Linked DNA regions of Caenorhabditis elegans. The protein of the gene in region 1 interacts with the protein of each later gene in a pairwise test. Each region holds a gene or a part of one and is shown on either strand. Other genes may lie near its edges.

The links.
Region 2: the proteins of lst-4 (region 1) and unc-26 interact in a two-hybrid assay, tested with the Caenorhabditis elegans proteins (one large-scale study listed by BioGRID).

What each region holds. Positions count from the first base shown.
Region 1 is NC_003282.8:14,062,330-14,070,166, forward strand, and holds the start of lst-4 (Sorting nexin lst-4), read right to left. Parts: upstream 6,142-7,837; coding exon 5,866-6,141; intron 4,701-5,865; coding exon 4,479-4,700; coding exon of another isoform or gene 4,404-4,478; intron 2,334-4,403; exon of another isoform or gene 2,331-2,333; coding exon of another isoform or gene 2,294-2,330; intron 2,073-2,293; coding exon of another isoform or gene 1,873-2,072; intron 1,099-1,872; coding exon 742-1,098; intron 702-741; coding exon 361-701; intron 296-360; coding exon 192-295; intron 137-191; coding exon 59-136; intron 1-58. UniProt on the Caenorhabditis elegans protein: Involved in the signaling of vulval development by acting as a negative regulator of epidermal growth factor receptor (EGFR) signaling. Aids in phagosomal membrane tubule formation which is required for phagosomal fusion with endosomes and lysosomes.
Region 2 is NC_003282.8:13,269,422-13,274,515, reverse strand, and holds the start of unc-26 (Synaptojanin), read left to right. Parts: upstream 1-1,999; 5' UTR 2,000-2,004; coding exon 2,005-2,128; intron 2,129-3,167; coding exon 3,168-3,397; intron 3,398-4,133; coding exon 4,134-4,324; intron 4,325-5,094. Other genes in the region: cpsf-3 (Cleavage and polyadenylation specificity factor subunit 3), read left to right, coding at 359-409. UniProt on the Caenorhabditis elegans protein: Probable inositol 5-phosphatase which regulates synaptic vesicle recycling in neurons by regulating clathrin-mediated endocytosis.

The DNA.
Region 1 (7,837 bases):
TGAAAAATTAGAATTTTTAAATTTATCCAAGAACTTTTAAAAATCCAAAGATTCATACCAACGGTCTCATCAATCTCAAAAGATTGCTGAAGTGTCTTGAACGCGCTTCCCATCTTTTGCCAATTTTGTTTTACCGCTGAAATTTGATTTTTTTAATTTAAATTTTTAAAGCTCGAAAATTTCCAACATACGTCCAGCGAAGACCTTCTGGAACATGTTCATTCTCTCCTGCATCACACGCATCGCTTCTTCCGATGTTTTGACGCTCCGTTGGAATCGTTCAACTTGCATATCGCTGGAAACATGTAGGATTACGCAGGATTATCAAACTTTCTGCGTAGAATTCTATTAGTTTCTTACACATTATTCGGATCCAATGGTTGATGTGGAACAGTGATACAGTTCAGGAAAGCTCCACCAATGTATTCATCCTTTTCAGCTCGCCGCTTCCCATTCTTCCAATCTTTTTCGTCGGTGCAACTGATAAAGTGGAGCCAAACTTCCGACTGACTCAACACTGGATGCCTACAAATCTTGTTGACCCATAACTGAAGAATGTGCTTCCGATGATCAATAAGATCCTCCTCGTATCTTCCGGCGACCTGTTTCTCTGGCAACGGTGGAATCGGAATGAGCACATATTTAGCCGATAGCTGCTCGTGGAGCCAATCGAAATGCTTGTAGCGACGGGATACCTGACGCTAGCAAGCGGTTAGTAAGCGTCGAAATCTACAAATTTACCTGAATATTAGTCAAACTCGACGTAATCGAATATGCGATGAAGCTCTTCAGCCCTTTCAGCTTTGACTCTTTCTTCGGTTTATCCACTATACACGTGTAGTACTGTTGAATCGGTTTCCATTGAATAATTCCATTGTTCATCACAACTTCATGTCGTTCACTAATCTGTGAGGTGGTCTTTGATTCACCAATCACGTACGCTTCGACTCCGGACTTTACAAAATTCGAGAATCGATTGATGTTCTTGTTGACCTTATTGGATCCTCGATCAGGTCCACCGTGTTCCGAGTGGCTACGGCTGAGGTCACGACGGGAGTTCGAGCCGATCGAGGATTGAACGTTGGGCCGAGTTGGTTCCTGGAAATCGGAATTTTTTGATTTTTTTTATTTTATAACTTTTTGGACACAAATAAGGAAAACATGCATGCGTTACATAACAACCTCAATAGTTAAGGAAGCTTGATACTTTAAGCCAATCAGAACAACGAGCAGTCCCGTACGCCTCAAACAACACGTGGAGTCAGAAAGTCCCGCTTCGCTCTGATCTACGAAAAATGCGGGAAGTGAGACGCAGACATCTGATTTCGCATGGTTAAGAGTGTGCTGACGTCACAATTTTTTTGGGCGAAAAATTTCCGCATTTTTTGTAGATCAGACCGCATTGAGACCAGGGGTGAGCGGCAATCGGCGATCGGTGATCGGCGATTTTCGTGATTTTTCGGCGATCGGCGATCGCCGATCGCCGATGGAATTTTTCAATAAATTCATCTCGATTTTTAAAATCTCATGTTTTTTTTAAACGATTGTTTTGTTGTTTTTAATTTTTTTTTTGAGTAAATGTTAATTTTTCGTCGCATTTCCTTACCAAACAAAAAAACGGAAAGGTGTTTTGACCGAATAACTCGGTTAAAATAGCCGATCGGCGATCGGCAATCGGCGATCGCCGAAATTTTTCGGAAATTGGTGATCGCCGATCGCCGAAATTTTTCGGAAATTGGTGATCGCCGATCGCCGAAAAAAAAAAAGTTTGGGCGATCGGCGATCGCCGATCGCCGATTTTTTTGGGCGACTGCTCAGCCCTGATTGAGACTTTCTGACACCACTTGAAACAACTTATCGAACAACCCGAACCTTATTCTGATCGTGGTGAGACCGATTCGAGCTCAAACACGAGCTCACCGACTTCTCAACTCTCCGTCGACTATCTCTCTCCTCACTGAGACGTCTCCGTCGGGCGGTGCTATCTTGCCTACTCAAGCGCTTTTTGGTGCTCGTGGAGCGGGTAGACGAGCCCACACTACCGTTTCTTTTGCTAGAGGGGTAGGCACCGTCTGCAATGAGATGTGTGAGCGTTGTTAAAGCCACTATGCTTTGAAAATCTTGTAATTGCACATTCGCGGGAAATGAGAGATCGAAAAGAGAGAAACAGAGAAGCCACGTGGCTCCACGTTTTTTCGTTGCGAGGAACATCATCTCTTCTTCAATATCTAACCTTCCAACGAATGTGTAATAGATGTCCGAATGCTTCGCCGACAAGAACTATTCTAATAACCTTGCTGACTACTCCTCGTCTCGTCGTCAGTGGACATATCCGTTCGAGACCCACTTGCACGATGATGATGATGACGAATCGAGTTTTGATAATTCACAACTTGATCATGGACGGACAGACGGTGTTCCTTAATCAACGGATTACAAAAAGTGCTAGAACGCTGAACGTTTCCCCTAAAATATCTAAAAACGAACCCACGACGGTGAGAACGAGACGCTCGCCCTATGAAATCCACGAATTTCAGTAATAGGAATAGGACGGTTATAGAAGAAGACGTCGGCGTCCGATTGACGCAGTCGACGCATTTTTGCATGTATATATATATATGGATATATGTATATATATATATATACATATATATATATATATGTGAGTATGGATATCCAATAGGATCACCAAAAAAGACTCAACACATGATGATAGTTTTCGAGAGGCGTCGGGTGGCGACAGAGCAAAAATGAGCTGGTGGAGAGTGCTGGGGGATTCTCAATAGCAGCAATCAGGAGAGATGCTTGCACATATAAAGCGCGGGGTGTTGCAAAGAGCAGTTGAGAAGGGATATCCCTATTTTTGAGAAGAAAATTTGGGTTTTTTTTTTGTTTTTCAGGGTGATTTTTTAATTGTATGCGTAGTATTAATTTTGAAACCGACATGAAAAGGTGCTCCGCCCCCGAACCATAGGTCTCGTTAGGTATTGGTGTCAAAGTGTCTCACTTCGGCGTGATCTACAAAAAATGCGGGAATTTAGACGCAGATTTTTCAGCAAATTTCGTATGGTTAAGAGCGTGCTGACGTCGCATTTTTCTGGGCGAAAAATTCCCGCGTCTTGTAGATCAAACCGTTATGGGACAGCCTGACACCCCGTGTATTTGGCGTTAGGTATCAGTTTCGCCAATTTTTGAGAATTTTCCGTTGTTTTAATGATTTTTTTGAGCACGTTTAATACCCAACGAGACCTATTTTATTGGGGGCGGAGAGTTTTCATTTGCAGTGGAGCGGTGTGTCCCAATACAGTTTGATCTACAAAAAAATCGTGAATTTTCTCCCAGAAAAATTACGACGTTAGCACGCTATCAACGAAATCAGTTGAAATCAGGGGTGTGCGGCAAATCTCAAAATTTGCCGAGCTCGGCAAATTCGGAAAATCTCTTTTTTTCAATATTTGCCGAGCACGGCAAATTCGGCAAAGTTGCCGAGCTCGGCAAATTCGGCAAATTCGGCAAACTCGCCGTGCTTAACAAACTCGGAAAAATTTGATATTTTTTTTATGTTTTTTGGAGCACCAAAACTACTGAATTCTTAACACACATCTGGTTTCTGAATAAGTTCCGCGTAGTATGTCTGTTTAAGCATCAAAATAGCTCAATTTTGTATCATTTTACTAAATTTTTGGCTAAAAAATCAATAGTTTTAGTCAAAATTGTACTGTCAAATTTTTGACGTGTGCGGCAAATTTCGAAATTTGCCGAGCTCGGCAAATTCGGCAAATCTACTTTTTTGAAATTTGCCGAGCTCGGCAAACGGCAAATTCGACAAATTCGGCAAATTTGCCGCACACCCCTGGTTGAAATGTCTACGTCTCACCTCCCGCATTTTTCGAAGATCAAAGTGCGAAATGGGACTTTCTGACTTCACGTGTATTAAGAAAAAACCTTTGAATGCTAGAGTTAGTTGGAGTAAAATTAATAAAACCTATAAACTTAAAAAAATTCTAAATAAAAAATCCCAGTTAAATAAAAATGTCCTTTACATTTTGAAACGACGGCGACTGATTAACTTGTAGATGATCTAGAGCGATAAAGCTCGAGGATCGTCCACGAGCAAACAGCATTCGCGAAAATTTCAGCAGCAGCAGAAGTTGTTGTAGTAGTAGCAAATAAATCTGGATGACATTTAAATAGTCGCAGCCGACGACGAAGAGAGAGAATTTCGAATGATTAGAAATGAAATGTCCGAAGAGAAGAGGGTCCAGCGGCGACGGAGTGGAGAGACGACTTCTACCGGAAACCAAGTTGCGGCGGCGACGACAACGATGTCGTTTCCCGGCGATTTTTGAGGAGGATGACTATTCTTTTTGGACTTTTCGTTTGGTCTTTTAGGATATATAGATTTAGGAGTTAGAGGGTATAAATAGGACGGACAGAAACTGGACAATCAAAAAATTAAAATAAAATTTTAAAAATACCTGCTCATCATCCTCATCCGTCCATTCATCGTCAAAATCATCATTCTGTGATGGATATGAAGATCTAGTGACTTCCGGTACAGATGGCGTTGGCTGATGATGATGTTGGGCTCCGTAGGATGGTGGAGCAGCAACTTCTGAAGCGCCTCCCCAATCATCAAAAGGACGCGATGAGGCAGCTGGTGGACCGCTTGAAGTTGGTGGGAGTGGTGGTGGTAGGACCTGGAATTTTTGAGTATTTATGAAATTGTTTAAAAAGTTAGAAAATTGAAATGGGATCTGTGTGTCATGTGGTCCCATCACGGATTGATCTACAAAAAATGCGGGATTTTTTGCCCGACAAAATGTGACGTCAGCACGTTTTTAACCGTGCACACGTGGTGTCAGGCTGTCTCATTGCGGTTTGATCTACGAAAAATGCGGGGATACTTTTCAAGAAAAATTGTGACTTCAGCACGCTCTTAACCATGCGAAATCAGATGAGATGTCTGCGTCTCTTCTCCCGCATTTTCGAAGATCAAAGCGAAATGGTACTGTGCGAAATCAGTGGATAACTCTACGTCTCAATTCGCGCGTTTTTTGTAGATCAACGTAGATCAAGCCGGAATGGAGCACTCTGGGAGCTACAGTTATTACGTATACGTCACAAGAAAATGGGTCTCGCCACGCTGACAACTGTAAATCGACACGAGTAACAGAAACTTGTTGTCAGCGTGGTGAGACCCGTAACCAACTACTAGAGCTCTATTTTGTGATATGGTACGGTAGGAGTACTGTAGGATTACTGTAGAATAACAAAACAAATCTGTTGTGAGCTTTTGTGGAGTCTCCAGCGGTGTCCTATTTGAGGATCGACCTCATTAAGTTTGGTAGCGAACACATGGTGTCAGAGTTTCCCATTTCGGTTTGATCTACGTTGATCTACAAAAAAAATGCGGGAGAAGAGACGCAGAGTTCTCATCTGATTTTGAATTGTAAAGAACGTGCTGACGTCACATTGTTGGGCAAAAAATTCCCGCATTTTTTTTGTAGATCAGACCGTAATGGGACGGCCTGGCACCATGTGAGCGAATGTAAATTTCAAATTGTCAAAATTTACTCTGTTTGGCACCTACACGTGGTGCCAGGCTGTCCCATTACGGTTTGATCTACAAAAAATGCGGGCATTTTCGCCCAAAAATATGTGACGTCAGCACGTTCTTAACCATACGAAATTAGTGGAGAACTCTGCGTTTCTTCTCCCGCATTTTTTGTAGATCTACGTAGGTCAAACCGAAATGAGACACTCTGACACCACGTGCACCTATGAATTTGCCTCAGAATTTCGAGGAATTTCTGAGAGGTTTGGAAAGAATCGAAAAGATTATCTTCTACACAAAACCCCTACACTCTTCGATATTGCTCCACTTTTCTTAAAACTGCTCTTTCTAGACGAGTGCTTCCCAGTGGAATGCTGTTCATCCTCTTCCTCCATCAGAATAGGTGGCTTCATCTTATGCGGTGAAGCAGATGTGTCTTGTTTGATGAGTGTACTACACGTGTGTCGTCGAAGCATCTGTTTGCGACGACGTTCGAGAAGCTGCCGATGAGCATCTTCAGATGAGCCGCCCGGTGGTGTTGGGTAGTTCTCAACGGCCTTTCGAAGACTCGATGTGAAGAGCATTCGCGAAAAGATCGAAAAGTCGGATAAAAAGTAGGAAATCTCTTGGCAGAATGAGTGGAATATAAGACGAATCAGGTATATAGAGCTTCTTTGAGAATCTACTTATTTTGTTTTCAAGTATCTGGACCGCCGTCTTCAAGTGAGTAGGAGGATCCGAACGTCTCCAGGGACCCGAGGAAAAACCAATTTCAAAATAGTTTTTCTTTCTTTTTTTTTCTATTTTGTTCCAGTCTCTTCCGCTTCATCTCACTCCTCTTTGTTGCGTTCTTCTTCCACCATCTTTTTTATTATTCAAATTTCATGGGCTTTTACTCATCTTTCTCTCCGTTTTGAATATTTTTCGGAAACAAGCATCAGATTCAGCGATTTCTAGAGGGTTCCAGCAGCTCAAAATGCTGATGAGAAGGCAATTTCAATCATTTTGATGCTTTTGGCTCACCACAACCAATTTAGATGCTCCCCGCAGAAATGCACACAACGAAGACACACAACGAAGACACACACACACACACACAAAATACAATCAAAACCGGAAATAGATGAGAAAGTGGGTTAACTAGAAGACAAATGGGTTACCGGTGGCGGACGAGAAGCTTGATAGGGAGTTACGTAGGATTCGGGAAAGAGTCCGACGGATCCACGCACGTTTCGACCTTCTATCCATCCTCCGTCGATGTTCTGAAATAAAAACTCTTGATTTTGCTTTAAATTATAGAAAAAAATGGGCTGAAATGATCGAATAATAAATTCTTTTTGTGATTTTTTTTCCATTTTTGGGTAAATTCTTTCGTTTTTCTTATTTTTTTAAAGAGATATTTGAATTAAAACGCCATTTATCAGTTTTTCAGACATTTTTCCGCGGAGAAAACTTGTTCTCCGGACGAAAATTGGCCTAAAAATCAGGAATTTCATATATTGATAAGAAATTTTCAGGAAAAACGCCTGGAAATCTGACAAAACCAATGAATTTACACCATTTATCAGTTTTTTTTTGTTTGACAAAATTATGTAAATTATCAACGTTTGGCCAGATTTAAAGTTTCTGCGTATTTTGTTCGAGGAATCGAGTTTTCGCTTCGGAAAAATGCCTGAAAAACGAATAATCAGTGTTTTAAAACAAAAATTAAACAAAAAATTAAGAAAAAACAGATGAATTTCGCCAGAAAACGGGAAAACGCCGATTTATTCACGCGGGAATTCAAAATTAATTTAGCCGATTGTTTCATTTTACGATTCAAAAAATCCTCGAACAACTCTGTTCCACCTGCTCAAAAAGCCTCTTACCTCTCGAATAACCGTCAAAACTTCGCCAGCCGAGATTGACAGTTCGCCTGTGTTTGGTTGACTTTGAAAATCATACTCGGCTTTCACCTGAGCCATTTCTCTGAAAAAAATGTTAATTTTTAATTTAAAATATTCCAGAAAAAGAGTAAAACTGAATTTTCAGCAAGGTTTTTCAGTTGATAAGTGTCAAAAAAAGCGAGCGAGCAGAGAATATGAGAAATCAATAAAAAATAAACAATGAGTCAGCCAATATTTCAATACACAACGCGGCAACTCGTGATGACTGGTGAAATTGGGAAGTTTTTTAGGGAGGAGGAGGAATAGGTGTCAAATTTCCATAGGCATATGATTAAAATTGTTGAATTTTGGGTGGGAAAGTGCATTTTTGGGTAAAAAAAAACACTGTTAAAAG
Region 2 (5,094 bases), 790 kb from region 1:
TTTTGTTTATATGGATAAGAAAAAACATAAAAATTTCTTCTAAAAAGAAGAATAATGGCCGAAATATTGAGCTAATTTTAAAAAAATCGAAACATCGAAAAATTAAAAAAAAATTGCGGGGACACATCTCTCTGTGTCCCCGCAAATTTTCGTCTCTCGCCTTCAGCATATGAAATGGGATGTCGGCCGATGTCGAAAAATACAGAAAAAATGTCGAAAAATGCATGCGTTTTTTAAACATTTTTCGACACACATGAATAAGGAAAAACGTATAAAAATACATTCTTTGCATTTTTCCACATCGCATGAATAAAACCATAACTTTCGGAAATCTGAAAAAATCTCAAAATTATTCCAGATTGTGACTACAAACACAGAAGTGAATGAGATTGATGATATGGAATGTTAGAGTAAGCAGAGTCGATCGTCACACCAACAATGATCTCAAATTACATTCTCTTTCTCTATCTTTTTTTCGTTTTGTTTATGTTTTCAGAGTATTGAAGGGAATATCGAGAGAATTGTTATAATTTATTTCATTATTATTATATCATTATTACTTTTTCTTCTGTTGTTGTGCTCTTCGTTTTGTGCATTAAAATCATATTTTTTAATCCAATAATTTTTTTTCTTTGTCTCCAAAAAAATGAAAACGCGTGTCCATCGCGAGAGACTATATGAGTTTTTCCCTAAAAATCGCAAAAATGGAGAAACAAACTTTCAGAAAGTAATGAAAAATGTATGAGAAAAATTACCGAAAATTTAAGAGACTTTCCGGAAATTCCGCAAAATTAAATTTTTTTGAAAATATTGGAAAAACTAAAATTTTCGATCTTTAAATGTTCTCTAATAGTAAAATCGAAAAACGAACAAATTTCGAATTGAAAAAAAAAATTTTTGAATAAAATCGAAAAACCAAAAACTTTTAGATTTTCCAATATTTCGACTTTTCGAAAAAATATCTCTTAATTTTTAAAATTTTGTTTTTCCGATTTTCACTAAAAAATTTAAAAACGAAAATTTTCTGTTTCTTAGGCGTAAAAAAACAGATTTTAGTGAAAAAATAAATCTAAAAGTTTAGGGATTTTTTTCAGTTTTTCGTTTTTCCAATATTTCGAAAAAAAAATTTTTCCGATTTTTCGAATTTCTTCAACATATCACGAAAACACTAAATTCTGAGAATGCGTAGCACAACATATCTGACGCACAAAGTATCTCGTAGCGAAAACTACAGTATCCCGTTGAATGACTTCTGTAGCGCTTATGCCCATTTACGGGATCTCTCGATTTTTTTTTGTCATTTCTGTGTTATCTTTCAAAATATTTTATCGATTAATGAATAATTTCCGTAACAGCGCTACAATAGTATTTTTATATATTATAAATTACAGTAGTTTTGGCCACGAGATATGTTGCAAAATACGCATTCTCAGAAATTTGTGTACGCGTAATAAACAAAATTTGATAGAAATTGAATTTTATTGTTAATCTTTTCAATTTTTCGATTTTTTTTTTGAAAAAATTGAAAAAAATCTATTTTCTTCGACATTTCGAAAATAAATAATTTTTTTCCAAAATAATATCTTTAAATTTTCGCCATTTTTCTTTATATAGATTTTCCGAAAATTGGAAAAATTGCAAAAAAATGCCCAATGACACCCGTGGCCGGGACCGGGAGGCCTAAGAGATTTAAAAAGACAAAACACGTATAGTTAGTCGGTTTTTTCTTCTTTCTTTATATGCTTCTCGCAGGGCTTTTCCCCTTCTGCCATCGTCTTCCTTTTTTCTTCGTCAATATATTCACATCTCTGCGTCTCTCCCAATGCATTTTTCTGCGTCTCTTCTATTCACGTACTGTCTCACTCAGTCTGCCATCCGCGCAGACTCGTTATTCTATTCTCACCACCACCACCACTACTGAGGTTCTTTTATTTTTTTTTGTTTTTTATTTTTTTTTAGTTTTCTTGGTGTTTTTTCTTTCTTGAATTTGTGATTATTTAGAGAATGTCAGTTCGAGGGATTCGGATATGGCGGAGGAATGATGCACGATTTCAACCATCAATCCTTGTCGAAAAGAATGGATTAGATGGATCTCTTTTGTTTCAGGGTGGAGCTATTGCAACGTTAGGTAAGGTTTTTGAAGAAATTATTCAAAAATATTTTAAAAATTAATTTAAATTTAAAAAAATAATCCGAAAATTTGGATAAAAGTTGAATAAATTCGTTTAAAAAATATTTAGACATTGGCCGAAAAACATTTTTTTAAAATTAGTTTTTTCTCATTTTTTTCTCAAAATATTTTTGAAAATTTGAAAAAAACATGTGGTAAAATATTCCGTATTACGTTTTTTACTGATGAGAAATTTTAAAGAAAAAAAAATTTAAACTCCAGAACTTATAGAATTATTTTATCGAAACAATCCATTTTATTACGGTTTTTTAGTTTTTTTTTCAAAGGTGGAGTACCAAAACCTGAGAAATATTTTCAAATGACTCCAATTTTTCCCCTAATTCCGAATTTCTAATTATAAAAATTCAAAAATATTTCCCTGATTTTATAGTTCAGCTTGAAATCGCTTGTTAACCCATGAGATTTTTCAAACAGCGAATTTTCGCGCCAGAGACGTCATGTGTCGATTTACGAGATTTTAAATCTTGCTGATTTCCGTTTTTCAACAAGTTTCCTCGATTTTCGTCGGTTTTTGCCAATTATTTTTGAAAGTGTGTTTTTTAAAGGAAAAATTTCCAATTTTCCGTCGAGTTGTGACCTAAACATTGGAAATTTTGTTAGTTTTTTAATGATATTATGTTTAATTGGCTTTTAAAAAAACCCATTTCAATTTTAAAAAAACTTGGCAAAAACCGACGAAAATGAAGGAAACTCAATGAAAAACAGAAATCAGCATCTGATAAACATTGAAAATCTCGTAAATATACACAAATCTCATAAATCGACACATGGCGCGGAAATTCGACGTTTGAAAAATCTCATAGAGACGCAATGCGATTTCAAGCTGAAATATAAAATCAGGGAATATTTTTTGAATTTTTTTCCCTTAGATATTCGGTATTAGAGGAAAATTTGGAGAAATTTAAAAATATTTCTCATCCACATTTAAATTTTTTAAAAATTTCCCACATTTGCCAAAATTATCCTCCTCTTCCAGATTCGGATTCAACAGACGTTGAACGAAGATCATATCAAAAGATAGTTGATGCTTATGGAATACTTGGAGTACTTGCTATTACAAAAGATGAAGCTGTTCTAGTTGCTGTTACTGGTGTACTTTCAGTTGGACAACTTTATGGAGCTGATATTCTTAAAATTACAAATGTCGAATTTATATCGTTACGAACGTTTGGTTCCGTCGAAAATGTTGATTCCAGAATTATCGATGTAAGTTTTTTAAACAATTTATTAAAGTTTTTAAAAAATTTATCTGATACATTAAAAAAGATCCAAAAAAAGTAAAATTTGTAAAAAAAATGAAAAAAAGAAAATTTGTGAATTTTCAGGGTTTCGAATTCGAAAATTTGAACCTTTTTTAATATCAAATTTTGAGTTCAATTTTTTTGGGCTATTTCGACTTTTTTGAAGTTTTAGACCAAAGCATTAGGAACTTCAAAAAATCATTTTTTTCGAAAAAAAAATCCAAAAAAAATTCAGTTTTTACAGATAAACCAGTGCAAACGCTGAAAAAATTTATTTCTCCAAAAAACTTTAAAAATACAAATTTTTCACAATTGCAAATTTTTTAAAAGTAAAAAATTAATTTTTTACTTTAAAAAATGCATTTCTTACAAAAAAAAATCGCCGGGATAGCAGAAAAAAATCATTTTTACAGAAAAAAATTTGTAAAAAAGATTCGTTTTGTTTTTTCAAGAAAAAAGCACAAAAGCCAAAAAAAATTACAAAAAAACCGTGGAAAAATCGATATTTCTGACAAAAAACCTCTAAACCTCTATTTTTCAGTTACAGCGACAATTTATAGATTTGAAAAAAATGTTTGAAAAAATTATTAAAAAAATATTAAAAAATGTGTTTTTCATTCAAAAAAAAAAAGATCTTTCGAGAAAAAATAACAAAAAAAAATTTGCTAAAAAAACATTTAAAATCCTCCAATTTTTTGCAGTTACAACGACTACTTTCATCTCAAATGTTCTATTTTTCATCACTTCAATCATATGATCTCACTCGTTCAGCTCAACATCGTGATTCACATGATTGTAGTGATGCACGATTCTTCTGGAATCGAAGTCTTCATTTTTCATTTCAAAGATATGGAATTGATACGGATAATTGGTTGTTGAAATGCATGGCTGGGTAGGTAAAAATTCATGTATTTGGGTCTCGACGCGAAAATCAAATAATGTTGAGTATGTTTCTCGTGGCGAGACCTTTAAGTACGAAAAGTTGCGAATTTACATATAAATTTAAAAAAAAACTTTAAATTTAACAAAAGTGGTTTTTTTTTGCAATTTTCTAATTTTTTGAAAATTTCAATTTTTTTTAATTACAAAAAAAAGTGATTTGAAAAAATAAGATAATTTTTGTGGAATATAATAAGATTTTCAGTTTTTTTGAAAAAAAAACGAATTTTTTTTTAAATTTAAAATTTAAAACTTTGTTGTAAAAATCATTATAAAAAGCCGAAATGAATTTTTCAAATTTCACTTATTTTTTAAAAAGAATTTTACAATAATACACAAAAATAATACAAAAATCTTTATTAAATTTCTGCTAATTTTAATTTTTTTTAGAATTAATTCGAAATATTTTTTTTCGTGGTGAGACCCAGCCGAGTTCCCGGAATTACAAGATTTATCATATACATTTTTTTTTTTGAAACACCTATTGTCAAATCTTTCAAAAACATTTTTTAAAGTGAAATTCAGTATCATTTTTAGAGTTTAGAGCTAGTTATTTTTTCTCTTAAATTAATAACTTTGTCGTTAAAAAAATCATTATAAAATCCAATAATAAACAACTTTTTTTTCAATTTTTCTACTTAATATACAAAAATAATACAAAATCTTCATAGATTTCTGTGAATTTCAACTTTTTTCCGCTTTGATTTCATAATTTTTCACACC